Alligator mississippiensis: one gene and its partners. The protein of the gene in region 3 interacts with the protein of the main gene of each other region in a pairwise test. Links are inferred from orthologs where the notes say so. Each region holds a gene or a part of one and is shown on either strand. Other genes may lie near its edges. The genes, in order: SS18L1, UBE2V1 and FAM168A.

What was found.
Region 1: the proteins of FAM168A (region 3) and SS18L1 interact in binary tests that used the Homo sapiens proteins (3 or more experiments, as listed by UniProt). The two-hybrid records come from large-scale screens. The link is inferred for Alligator mississippiensis from reciprocal best matches to the Homo sapiens genes FAM168A and SS18L1.
Region 2: the proteins of FAM168A (region 3) and UBE2V1 interact in binary tests that used the Homo sapiens proteins (3 or more experiments, as listed by UniProt). The two-hybrid records come from large-scale screens. The link is inferred for Alligator mississippiensis from reciprocal best matches to the Homo sapiens genes FAM168A and UBE2V1.

The regions. Positions count from the first base shown.
Region 1 is NC_081832.1:5,945,581-5,949,328, reverse strand, and holds the start of SS18L1 (calcium-responsive transactivator), read left to right. Parts: upstream 1-943; 5' UTR 944-1,002; coding exon 1,003-1,071; intron 1,072-3,748. Other genes in the region: PSMA7 (proteasome subunit alpha type-7), read right to left, coding at 130-225. UniProt on the Homo sapiens protein: Transcriptional activator which is required for calcium-dependent dendritic growth and branching in cortical neurons. Recruits CREB-binding protein (CREBBP) to nuclear bodies.
Region 2 is NC_081832.1:13,258,193-13,261,940, forward strand, and holds the start of UBE2V1 (ubiquitin-conjugating enzyme E2 variant 1), read left to right. Parts: upstream 1-1,074; 5' UTR 1,075-1,156; coding exon 1,157-1,178; intron 1,179-3,748. UniProt on the Homo sapiens protein: Has no ubiquitin ligase activity on its own. The UBE2V1-UBE2N heterodimer catalyzes the synthesis of non-canonical poly-ubiquitin chains that are linked through Lys-63.
Region 3 is NC_081824.1:467,259,783-467,263,530, forward strand, and holds the start of FAM168A (protein FAM168A), read left to right. Parts: upstream 1-1,091; 5' UTR 1,092-1,262; coding exon 1,263-1,265; intron 1,266-3,748.

The DNA of each region.
Region 1 (3,748 bases), on a different chromosome or scaffold from region 3:
ACAAAAAAAAAAGTCTATGTTTTTGCACGCGTGTCGCGCAAGTGCAGGCGGCGCCCCCCGCGCTGCTCGGGCCCTCCCCCCGGCGGGTCCCGTGAGGCCAGGTCAGGACAGGCCCGGCGGCACACTCACCGCGGTGGAGCCCTTCTTGACGGCCTCCTGCGCGTACTCGACCTGGAAGAGGTGGCCGTCGGGAGAGAAGACGGTGATGGCGCGGTCGTAGCTCATGGCGGCCCCGGCGCTGCCTCAAATCCGCACACTCACCGCCCGCCCCGCCCCTTCCGGCGGACCGCCCCGCCCCTTCCGGCGGCCCTTCCGCTGTCACGCGCCTGGCCTACGCCTTCTGCTTCCTGTGCGCCAACTGCGTAGGCGCTGCGTTTCCCCACCCCCCTTCATGTTCTACCTTACGCACTTGGCGTACATACCTGCGTGTCTCCCACCCCCCCGTTTAACGTAGCCGCCGGGTTTATCAAGGTGGAGGATTTCCTCTCCGCTCTTGGCGTACACGCGTTCTTTGCCTACGCCATTGACGTAGTTATCAAGGTGAAGTTATCCCACGCACTTTGCGTAGGAGCGGGCATGATTTCCCTCCCCCCTCCGGCTTCACGCTGCACTCCACGCACTTGGCGTACATGCCGCCTTCCCTACGCACTTGGCGCACCTGGCTGCCGCTGCTCGCCTGCGCCAGGAAGCCGGGGCGCGGGACGCACCATGTGCAGCGGCGTGGGGGGGAGCGGGGGAGGGGCTCTGCGGTGGGCACCGCCCCCGCCCCCCCCCCGGACCCGAGCCGCTGGGCCCCCCCGGCGCGCGGGGCTGTGGCAGAGGGGCGCGGGGGGCGGGGCCGGCGCGGGGGGCCGCGGGGCGGGGCGTGGGATGTACCATGTGCGCCGGCCACCCCCGCGCACTGCGGACAGCCCGGCGCGGCGGCGGCGCCGATCGCAACCGTGAGCGCGGGGCCGGGGCCGTGCCAGGGACCCGCCCCCCCCCGCCCCCGCCCCCGCCGGCATGTCGGTCGCCTTCGCCTCCGCCCGGCCCAGGGCCAAGGGCGAGGTCACGCAGCAAACCATCCAGAAGGTGAGGGGGGGGGCATCGCCTCACGGCCCGGGGGGGAGGGGGTCACAGCCGGGGGTGGGGGATGGGGGCTTCATCCATTATTCACCCGGGCACGGCGGGGGGGTGAGCGCCGCCGCCGTCACCACCACGGTCCTGCGGTACGGTCACCATCCGTGTGAGCATAGCGTTATTACCGGGGGTATTCGCGTTATTAGCAGTAGTGCTGGCATGATCGTCACTGTTACTATTAGTGTTGGCATTATTAGTATTATCAGCGTTATTAGCATTATTAGTAGTATTAGTATTAATAGTATCAGTATTGGCATTGTTAGCATTGGCTTAGTATCATTAGTATTAGTGTTATTACTAGTATTAGTATCACTAGCATTATTATTGGTATTGACATTATTATTACTAGTATTATTTCTATTATATTACAAGTATTATTATTATTATTATATTACTAGTATTAGTAGTAATAATAATACATTGTTATTATATTACTAGTAGTAGTAATAATAATGCATTGTTATTATTACTGCTACTAGTATTAGTATTGTCAGCATTAGTATTGGTTTAGTATCATTAGCATTATTAATAGTATTGGCGTTATTACTAGTATTAGTATCATCAGCATTACTATTACTATTGGTATTATCAGCGTTACTATTAGTATTGGCTTTATTAGCATTAGTATTAGTGCATTATTAGTATTAGTAGTAGTATCAGTGTTGTTAGTGCTAGTATCAGTGTTATTGTTAGTATTGGTATTATCAGCATTATTGGTATTGCCATTATTATTAGTATTGGCATTATCAGCATTGTTAGTAGCATTGGCATTATTAGTATTAGTATCAGCATCATCAGCATTATTATTAGTATTGTTATTTGTATTAGTATCATCATCAGCATTATTATTAGTATTGTTATTTGTATTATCATTAGTATCATTATCAGCATTATTATTATTATTATTGTCATGTGCGGTTGCACTCGTCGTGGCTTAACGCCAAAGGGCAGAGGTTTCGAGGGGCTTTCTCATCGGGCTCGGTCCCTGCTGGGCTTCCCTACAGAAGCGGGTGCTGAGGGGACCCACTTGGGAAGTTCGGGGGATGCTTTTGTAGGAGAAGACGCGCGAGGGTGATGGGCAGGGGGGAAGGAGCCCCTCCCAGGCCCTGCTGCCGTCCCCGGGGATAACGGAAGAGGTGTGGAGGTGTCAATAAAGAGCGTGTCTGTGCTGTCGATTGGTTTTGCTGAACAATGCCTGTCATGCCCAGCTCCAGCCTGCGTGCTCTGTGTTTGCCCTATTGCGATGTGCGGGGGGGGTTGCGTTGTGCGGGAAGGGATGAAGGTCTGATGTAGTCCATTTGTAAAGGATAATGGCGAACAAAAAAAGGTGTCAGCTCTCAGCAATCAGCTGTTTAGGAGGATTTCCTGCAGTCCAGCTAGCATCTAGTGCCAGGCTGTGAATTCTGGGGCAATGCGTTTTGCTGGAGGACGAGGTCAAGATTCAGGAAAATGAAGGCAGAACAAAGTACCCCGAGAGAGATGTTAGAATCTCGCATCTCTAAATGCCAGGAGAGCATTTGGAAACTCGTTCCATTTTGCCTAATTCTTGGAGCATGTGAGACGTTGTCATCAGACCCACTTCATTTCAGAGGCTAAAATATTTAGACAGCAGTGGCAAAAGGTGCAGCTTTATCCTTTATCTGGATTTTTGTGGGTTTAAGGCAGAATTTCACATCCTGTGTAGGTTAGTCTTTTAAGTTCATTTTCAAGGTTTCAGTGTAAAGGACAGTCGTAATCTCTTAATTGTCCACGCACTTTCCCTCCTGTCCGTGATAAACCTAGTAATAGTTTGGGGCTGCAGTCTGTTTCTTGGAAATATATAAAAATCTTTTCCTCTGACAAGTACACTCCATGCTTTCTACATTAGGCTTGCTCCTTGAGTTCTTGATTCTTGGCAGTGATGGTCTTTTTTGAAAAGCACTGACGCTTTTATCTGAAAACAAATGCATAAAAAAATTAACTTGACTTTGCCGTCATATATGGGGGGCAGGGCGGAATCTAATTTTGGGGCAGGAAATTGCAACAGTGTGCGTTCATCAGAAGTCAGACTTTATAGTAAAAGATATTTTTCACAAAGATGCTTGTTTTCGGCTCATGTTTGAATACACAAGCAGCTAGTTTTTATGATGCATGCTACTGACTTGCTTTCAAAAGCTCCTTTCAAGCCTTTATCCTTCCGAAGCTAACTATAATCCTTATACAAAACTTCATGTGAGGAAAGTGAAAGACTGTAGGATTGCAGATTGACTGTAGCTCATGGAACAGCAATGGGCATTAATATTAACCTTCGATTTACTTCTCTGACAGATTAGAGCCTACTTCTTTTTAGCAGTGTTATACTACAGTTATTCTCTGGTCTTTTTGCAACAAACAGTTGTGTTGCTTGGATTGTCAGCACTGAATACACATCCAGAGGTGACGTTTGATCCTTAAACCGTCTTACTAGACATGAGGATGCCAGCAGCTGAGCTGTTCATTAATATTGGAAAATATTTTGAGGGTCCTAAGATGATTACAGTTTTTCAGGAAAAATGATCCTCTCCACTCAGTTGCAGAGAATTGTATTAGACTTTCCACAGAATATCTCCATCTACATCATCGTAGGTTCGACACAAACAGTGAGTCAAAT
Region 2 (3,748 bases), on a different chromosome or scaffold from region 3:
GCTGGAGCACGTCCCCCATGGAGCACTTTGCCACTGCCTCTGTTCAGCCCCTGCCTGCAGGAGTCGCTGCTGCTGCTTGGGTGTCCTCTGCCAACAGCCACTGGCCAAACGTGAAGGATGCCCAGCATGGCCAGGTCCTTAAATATGAAATTATCCTATTGGAAGCTCAAAATTATAGCGTTTGCTAGAAAACTATTGTACACTGAAAAACTATGCAAACGAGTCTTCTTTACCTTGTATTGCTCACTGTAAGTCACCACCGAGCGAGAACTGGGCCCAAGTTGAAGCCTTTCTTTATTTCGAAGCAAGCGGTCATGAGAAAGCACTGACAGCAAACCCAGGAGCTGGATAAGACTCCCTGAGAGTGACTCAGGTTTTGCATACACTGCATTGATTGGCAGCCCCAAAAACTATCCACACTTTGAATACTTCTACTGTTAGTGGTCATCAGGGATCCTGGTTAAAAAACAAACACCCAGTTTTCAAATTTAAAAAACATAACCCAAAATCCACATTTTTCCATGACTAAAATGAAATGCCTATCTATCTATCTAGGTGTTTCATTTTATATAAAGGAAAAAAAAGAAAAAGAGCGAGTAAAAAAGGAAAAGGAAAAAGAGTAGAAAAGGAAAAAGTTAAAAAGAAAAAGTAAAAAAGAAAAAGGAAAGTAAAAAATGAAAAAGGGAGTAAAAAAGGAAAAGAGTAAAAAAGTAAAGGACAAAGTCAAAAAAAGGAAAATGAAAAAATAAAAAAATACAAAGGAAAGTTTTTTTTTTAAAAAGTAGTGTTTCATTTTAATCACGGAAAAATTTGGATTTTGGGTTCGTTTTTAAATCCGAAAATTGGGGATCCTTTCTATCAGAAAAGCAGGCTCCCTGTTGCTCGCACGTCGCACAAGGGTTGCAATAATCGCGCACCTGACAACCCCGAGGACGCTGCTCTCCGGCCCGCCCGCACGGCTTATTCCCCCTCCCACGCTCCGTGCAACGCAAAAACGCCCTTCCCGAGGCCTGCCGGCCAGCCCCGCCCAGCTTCCGGACTGCGACTTTCTGCGCCCGCCCGCCCGCGGCTCCTCCCGTCTCGTCCCATCAAGCCGCAGTTCGCGCGTGGCGGTGACGCGGCGGAAGGGGCGGGCTCGGAGCGGCAGCGGCGCAAGATGGCGGCCACCACGGGCTCGGGTGAGCGGGGCCGGGCAGCCGGCCGGGACCGGGGCGGGGGGCGCCGCGCGGGGCGGGGGTTCAGGCCGCGCTCCCTACTCCTACTCCTGCCCCTGCCCGCGGGGTTGTGGCGGGGCAGCGCAGCCCGGGCCCGCGTCCGTGTCTTGCCGGTGCGGGGCCTCAACACCCGCCGGCTGGGCCCGCCCGCTGCCGCGTCCCCCGGACCCGGACCCGGCCCCGGGCCCACTCGCTGCCCTGGGCCGACACCGCTGCGCCTGGAGCCGGCCCACCCGAGGGCCCCGAGCTGGGGTTTGCCGCCTGAGGGTTTGTCCCCCCACCCCACTCCTGGCCTGGCTGGGCCCTGCCGGCGCCCGGGTCCTGATGCCGCCGAAACCCCGGCGCAGCGTCGGCCGGCGATGCCCACAGGAGAGATTCGCCGCCTTGCCCAGCGCCGCCCGCTTCGCTTTTAAGCAGAGTAACGGATAGAAGTGAAACAGAGTCAAATGAGTTTCACTTTTGGGTACTAATTTCTGCTGTGCCTGGGTTGCAGTTTTGGCCTCCAGGATTTGTTTCAAGTGGTTCCCACCAAATTTTAAAACGAAGCAGGTCCTTCAAGGGGAATCCCTCGTCTTGACCGAGGAAACGAAGAGGATCTTCATTTTTCTCTTGAGGCCGTAGCTATTTCCGTAGATGGTCTTCTAACAAGAGCGATCACTCAAAAGAGAAGGATTTTAAAAATGTGCGAGCAGTGCAGTAGCAGTTGTTACGAGGCCTGTATTTTGCAGATCTGTGTTTAAAAGTCCTCGTAATCCCAATACCGCTGGTTTTTCTGCGCTTGTGCGGTTTGTATTCTAGGAGACCCGTGTTGAAACGCCCAGCACAGGATGTGAAATTGAGACAGGGCCTTATCGGCTTCTTGTGTCACTCCAGCAGGCCGCCGTATTTCTCCAATAATCTTTTGCAGCTTCTGACTTTTCTTCCATTTACATTTGGCTGGAAGAACAAGGCATGTGTCTTTCTTTTTAAGTCAGTGCAGCTCCATGAATTCGTTGTTTGGGTGCGGATGGAGAGGTCATGTAAGATTATTGAGACATTTTTAAACTCGCCTCGATACAGGGCTTCCATAGGGTATTTCAGCCGCACCCCTGGTAGATCTGACTCGATCTATCTCAACTCCCCGTTGAGAGATGCTGTGAGTGTGTAGTTAAGTGCAGAAAATCGGCCGGGCGGCCCCTTTTGTGTCACGTCCCGTCGTTTTTCATGTGATTCTAAAAGTGCTGCTGCTTTATCGGCTCTGCAGAATTGGAAGTGGGAAGTTTGTACTTCAGGTAACGTACAGCTAGGGAAGAACAAATAGGTGTGGCAACATACATACTTATTCAGGCATCTGGTGACAGACATATTTAACCTGCTGCTGGTAGGGTTTTGTTTGTACCTTTCCTTTTGGCAAAAGCTTTGAAAATCAGTGTATAACTTTTCAACACAGTTACGTGAACGCTGAGCCTTTGTAGACAGCTCTGAATTTGGATTTGAAAAATCCAAGTGAGCAACTCCATTTAAATGCAACTGTGAGCTGGTCCAGCTGGTAACTGATGCGGCTCTTTATTCTTGGTGATAAAGCCCACCCTGTGACTACTGATTAGGTTATTAGACTGTCCTTTTCTGCTAAAAGGAACAGTTATGTCCCGTCCCTTTCAGTAATATTACAGTGGCACTGCAGTGCAGTTTGTATTGTACTTTTTTTGATGCTAAAAGTTTTGGATGTGGTGTTGTCTATTGGGTACAGGGACAAGGGAAAGATCAATCCCTTGATATTTATTTATAGTCACCAATTCATGGTGGGCTTTGGGCAAGGAGTGTAATGATCTTTCTTATTTATAAACAAGTTTTACAAATACTTGTTTTACAAAAACCTTTAAATGTGTGCCTATTTGTTTGTAAAACATGTGGATCTGTTTGCTTCTCTTGGAAGTAGCTGAATTCCAAAGGTATATGTCCAATCTCATTAAAAATTTCTAGTTGTAGAACAAATGAAAAGGCAGCATACGTTAGCCCTGTATTTCTATAGAAGGCTGCAAGGGTGATTTTGGAAATGAACAAGAAAGCCATACACCATCTAACAAATGGGTTGAAATGCTTAAAAATTAGAATAATAAAACACCTGGAAAGAAATTATAGGAGAGTCTAGCAGCATGACTTCTGGAAAGGAAAACCGCACTACTCTGAGAATTCATTGAACATACAAATAAAGGGGAACCAGGTGACTTGAAGACTCTCAAAAGGCCATGACTGGGTTTCTTGAGGGGTGAAAGCTATGTCTGTGCTATAGACAGCGCGGTATAGGGATTCTTGAGCTAGCTAGTGTATTGGAAGTAGTATGGTTGTGGCAACAGGGAGCTCTGCGTGGGTTAATATTCCTGTTAAACAGCAAGGTACAGTAGCCTGGCAGAGCTTCATGCTGCCATGTCAGCTAATGTACTTTGTTGCTCAGTGAGAAAATTAGCCTGTGCAGAGCTCCAGGCTGCCCCAGCTATAGTTTGATGGATTCTTAGATTCATAGATTGTTAGGGGCTGGAAGGGATCATTGGGTC
Region 3 (3,748 bases):
ACTGTTCTAGTGTTTTACTACCCTCCTAGTGAGAGTTTTTCCTAATAGCCAACTTCCTAGTGAGAGTTTTTCCTAATAGCCAACTTCAATATCCTCAGCTTTCCTTGCTGCAGCTTGAGCCCATTGCTCCTTGTCCTGTCACCTGGCCCACTGAGACCAGCCCAGCTCCATCTTCTTTGCAACCCCGCTGCAGGGAGCTGAAGGCTGCTATTCAATCCCCTCAGTCTTCTCTTCTGCAGACTAAATTAGCCCAGTTCCCTCAGCCTGTCCTCATCAGTCATGGGCTCCAGCCTCCAAACCATTTTCATTGCCGTCTGCTGGACTGTCTCTAACTTGTCCGCATCCTTGCCCCGCTCTCATCCGACTGGCCACGTGTCCTATATCTACTCAAACTCCTGGGCTTTTCAGCACCCAGGTGTGTTCACTGTTCAAAATAAAGTGTGGTCACGTGGCCGACTGCAACGGGAAGGCCTGTACTTAGCAGCAGTCCTGTCACAGGGGTGGTTGGTTTTCATATGATCTGAACGGTCAGGCTTATTGCATGCTTTCTCTTTTTTCTCCGGTGGATGTCAGGTATATGTCTGTAAGCGATACCATGTTCAGGCTTGCAACAAGTTAATTCCTTTTGCAAAAAGCACTGAAGTTACACTGCTCTTTTGCCAGTTTGGCACAGGAAATCTGCTGGGATCTCAAGTGTAATGCTCTGTCAGTGAAGTCTCCTGTCCTTTTTTTAGATTCAGCATGCCATTCTGATGGGTAAAACAGCTTTTTTTTTAATTATTTAAATGAGCTACTTGGTTGCATGGAGTTACTAATTTGATATGGGTTTGGTACGTTTCTGTACACGTGGGAGTAAAAGGACTCTTTTGCCAATTCGAAGCTGGTGGCTTCTCTCTTTCCTCACGTGATTTATGGATTGGAGTGACCTGGAGGATCTCCAGCACTTTGCTCCTGTCCAGCTGGTGCATCTGCCTTCCTCCTAGCTCTTCATTTCTTATTTTTAAGTCCCTTTTTGCTCTCCACAGCAGCTGTTACAATCAGCTTATGCACTGGGCACCTCTCCTCTTGTCCGCCAGGTTTGGAGCCAGGCTACAGAAAGAAGATTGATACACATGTTCTGGATTCTCCCCATTATTTTTTTTCCTGCCTCCTTTCAAAAGGCAGCAAGAGCTCTGGATCTGGAAACGGATAACACTCAAGAGGATCAGCCCCCCAAAGGATAAGGCTTCAGAGAGTTCCCTGGGCTCTAGAAACTGTATGAAATGGTGAGTAAAATCCTTTGCATCATAAGCAGGCACGGTTCTTTGGGTAGATGTGATATCAAAGATCCTGGCCTGCCTGTGTCCTTAGAGCGACACGGCAACAACCAAAACCCAGTTTGCATCATAAGAGTGCTCGCTACATGCCTAGACCAGGAGCTGTCACATAAAGGAAGCAAGGTAGCAGCGCAGAAAGAAATCACGATCCTTTTTGCTATATTTCAGCACTGGTGAGGTCACATCTGGAGTCCCGTGTCCAGGTTTGAGCCACCCACTGCAGAAAGCATGTGGGCACATTGGAGAGAGTTCAGTGGAGGGCAATAAAAATGGTTTGAGAACATGATTTGTGAGGAGAGGCTGGGGGAACTGGGTTTATCAAGTCCGGAGAAGAGCAGATTGAGTGGGGATTTGATAGCAGCCTTCAACTCCCTGCAGTGGGGTTGCAAAGAGGATGGAGCTGGACTGTTCTCAGTGGGGGCAGATGTCAGGACGAGGAGCAATGGGCTCAAGTTGCGGCAGGGGAAGCTGAGGTTAGATATTCGGAAAAACTTTCTCACTAGGAGGGTAGTAAAACACTGGAACAGGTTACCCAAAGAGGTTGCAGACTCTCCATCCTTGGAGGTTTTGAAGACTTGGCTAGACAAAGCCTTGGCTGGGATGATGTAGTTGGGGCCGGTCCTGCTTTGAGCAGGGGTTGGACTACGTGTGACCTCTAGGTGTCCCTTCCACCCCTCATTTTCTATGATTCTGTGCTTTTCTAGGTGAAACACATTTTTCCCCTTCATGTGAGACACTGCGTCATGTTATTGAGTCCTTGGGCTCTGCCTACAAGGCCAGCTTTTCTTGTCCATGTACCTAGATCTTCTCACAGGCACCATTATACTCTCCTCCTGTTAAAATAAAGCTTTGACATTATCCTCCTTCAGGTCCCTCTTTAAAACTCATCTTTCCTGTAATGGTCTGTATCCACTTGTTTCTCAGAGACGAGGAAGAGCATTTTGTGCCTGAAACCTGGTCTAACATCTCACCCAACTATCTAGTTAGTCCAGTAAAAATATTACCAAACAACTCTTGCTTCTGTAAAACACATGGTGAGGCGGCTGTTCATTTTGTGAATTGTTACTATTGTATTGTTTCTTTGCTCTCCTTTTCTCTCTCTAAATGAGTTCATTTTGTGGGTGTTTTGTGTCTTGGCGTATGCTAAGTCTGGGAAATCTTTGGAGCCATAATGTGCAATGGGGCCCTGATCCAGTATAAATAATAGATGGCTGCATTCTGGGAGCACTAATCCCCACTAAGAATGTCACTGTCCAGCAGCTCGTGTGCTGTAAGAATTGTTAGACAGGAACCACTCACCAGAATGAGCTCCCACGTTCAAAGTATAAAGGACAGAGCCACTTGAACATCAGTAGAGCCCACTTCACAGAGTAACCTCTCCCTTTCTGTCCTCACAATCCTTCCTTGTGCTCAAAGGGAATTCAGAAAACACTCCTAGGTGAGGGGTCTGAGAATAGAAATGTATAAGCCCATTGGACAGTAAAAAATCTGGACTCAATACAGACAGCCACTTTATGGCTCATTACAACCTAACAAATGCTGTTGTTAATCTCCCTTCACATCACAGGTAATAACTTCCCTTTGTCTTCTCAAATGGTCTCACTCTTCCACTAACTAGATTGCCTGTGCTTATGCACCTTTTTGTCCTAGAACAGCTCCTGATAACACCTCTTCACGTCTAGTTCACAGCCTCCTCCATCCCTCCAAGTAGACTTTGCAATTAAATGGAGTCTTTTCTCTGCTGTTGAGTTCAGTCTGTCTGCCTCTTTTTTTTTTTACACCTGAGGAAGGGCACTTGATGCCTAAAAGCTTGTCCAACAGCTCTCCCAACTATACAGTTGGTCCAATAGATGTTATTACAAAACATCCTTGCCTCTGGACTTTTGGCAGTGATGATGCTAACTGAATATCCTGGTCTGAAAGTGTATTTAAAGTAAGTGTTAACGAAGGAGAAATTCAGAGTTTCAGTTGCTCCGGCCTATTGATCTTGAGAGTCACCAACCAGGTGTGGCTGAAGACCAAGAAGTCTGCTTTGATGCATCTGTCCTGTAGGGTTATTGCAATTTAAGGCCACTGTATAGTCTTTAGAATTGAGTTTCTTCCTTTCTTTAGTGTTTTTAATGATGGGTAGAGCTGGATGTGATTCAAGACTTGATGTTTTGTATGAACCAGCTCATTTTCATCTTGAGTTAAAACTGAACTAAACAGAAGCTTTGTAAAATTCCACCCGTGCTTCTCCAACAAACATAGTGGGTTCCTTTCCCAACCACATCCATTGCATTTGCTTATGATTGTGTTTACAGGGCTCACTTTTCACTCTGCTTATGAAAGAATTGCTGTTCCTGTGCTTCAGTAGTTTACTGGCTGAGAGTGTAATTAAAATGTTTGTTTGAAAAGCATTTAATTAGAATTCTTTCTGTAGGCAAACTCTG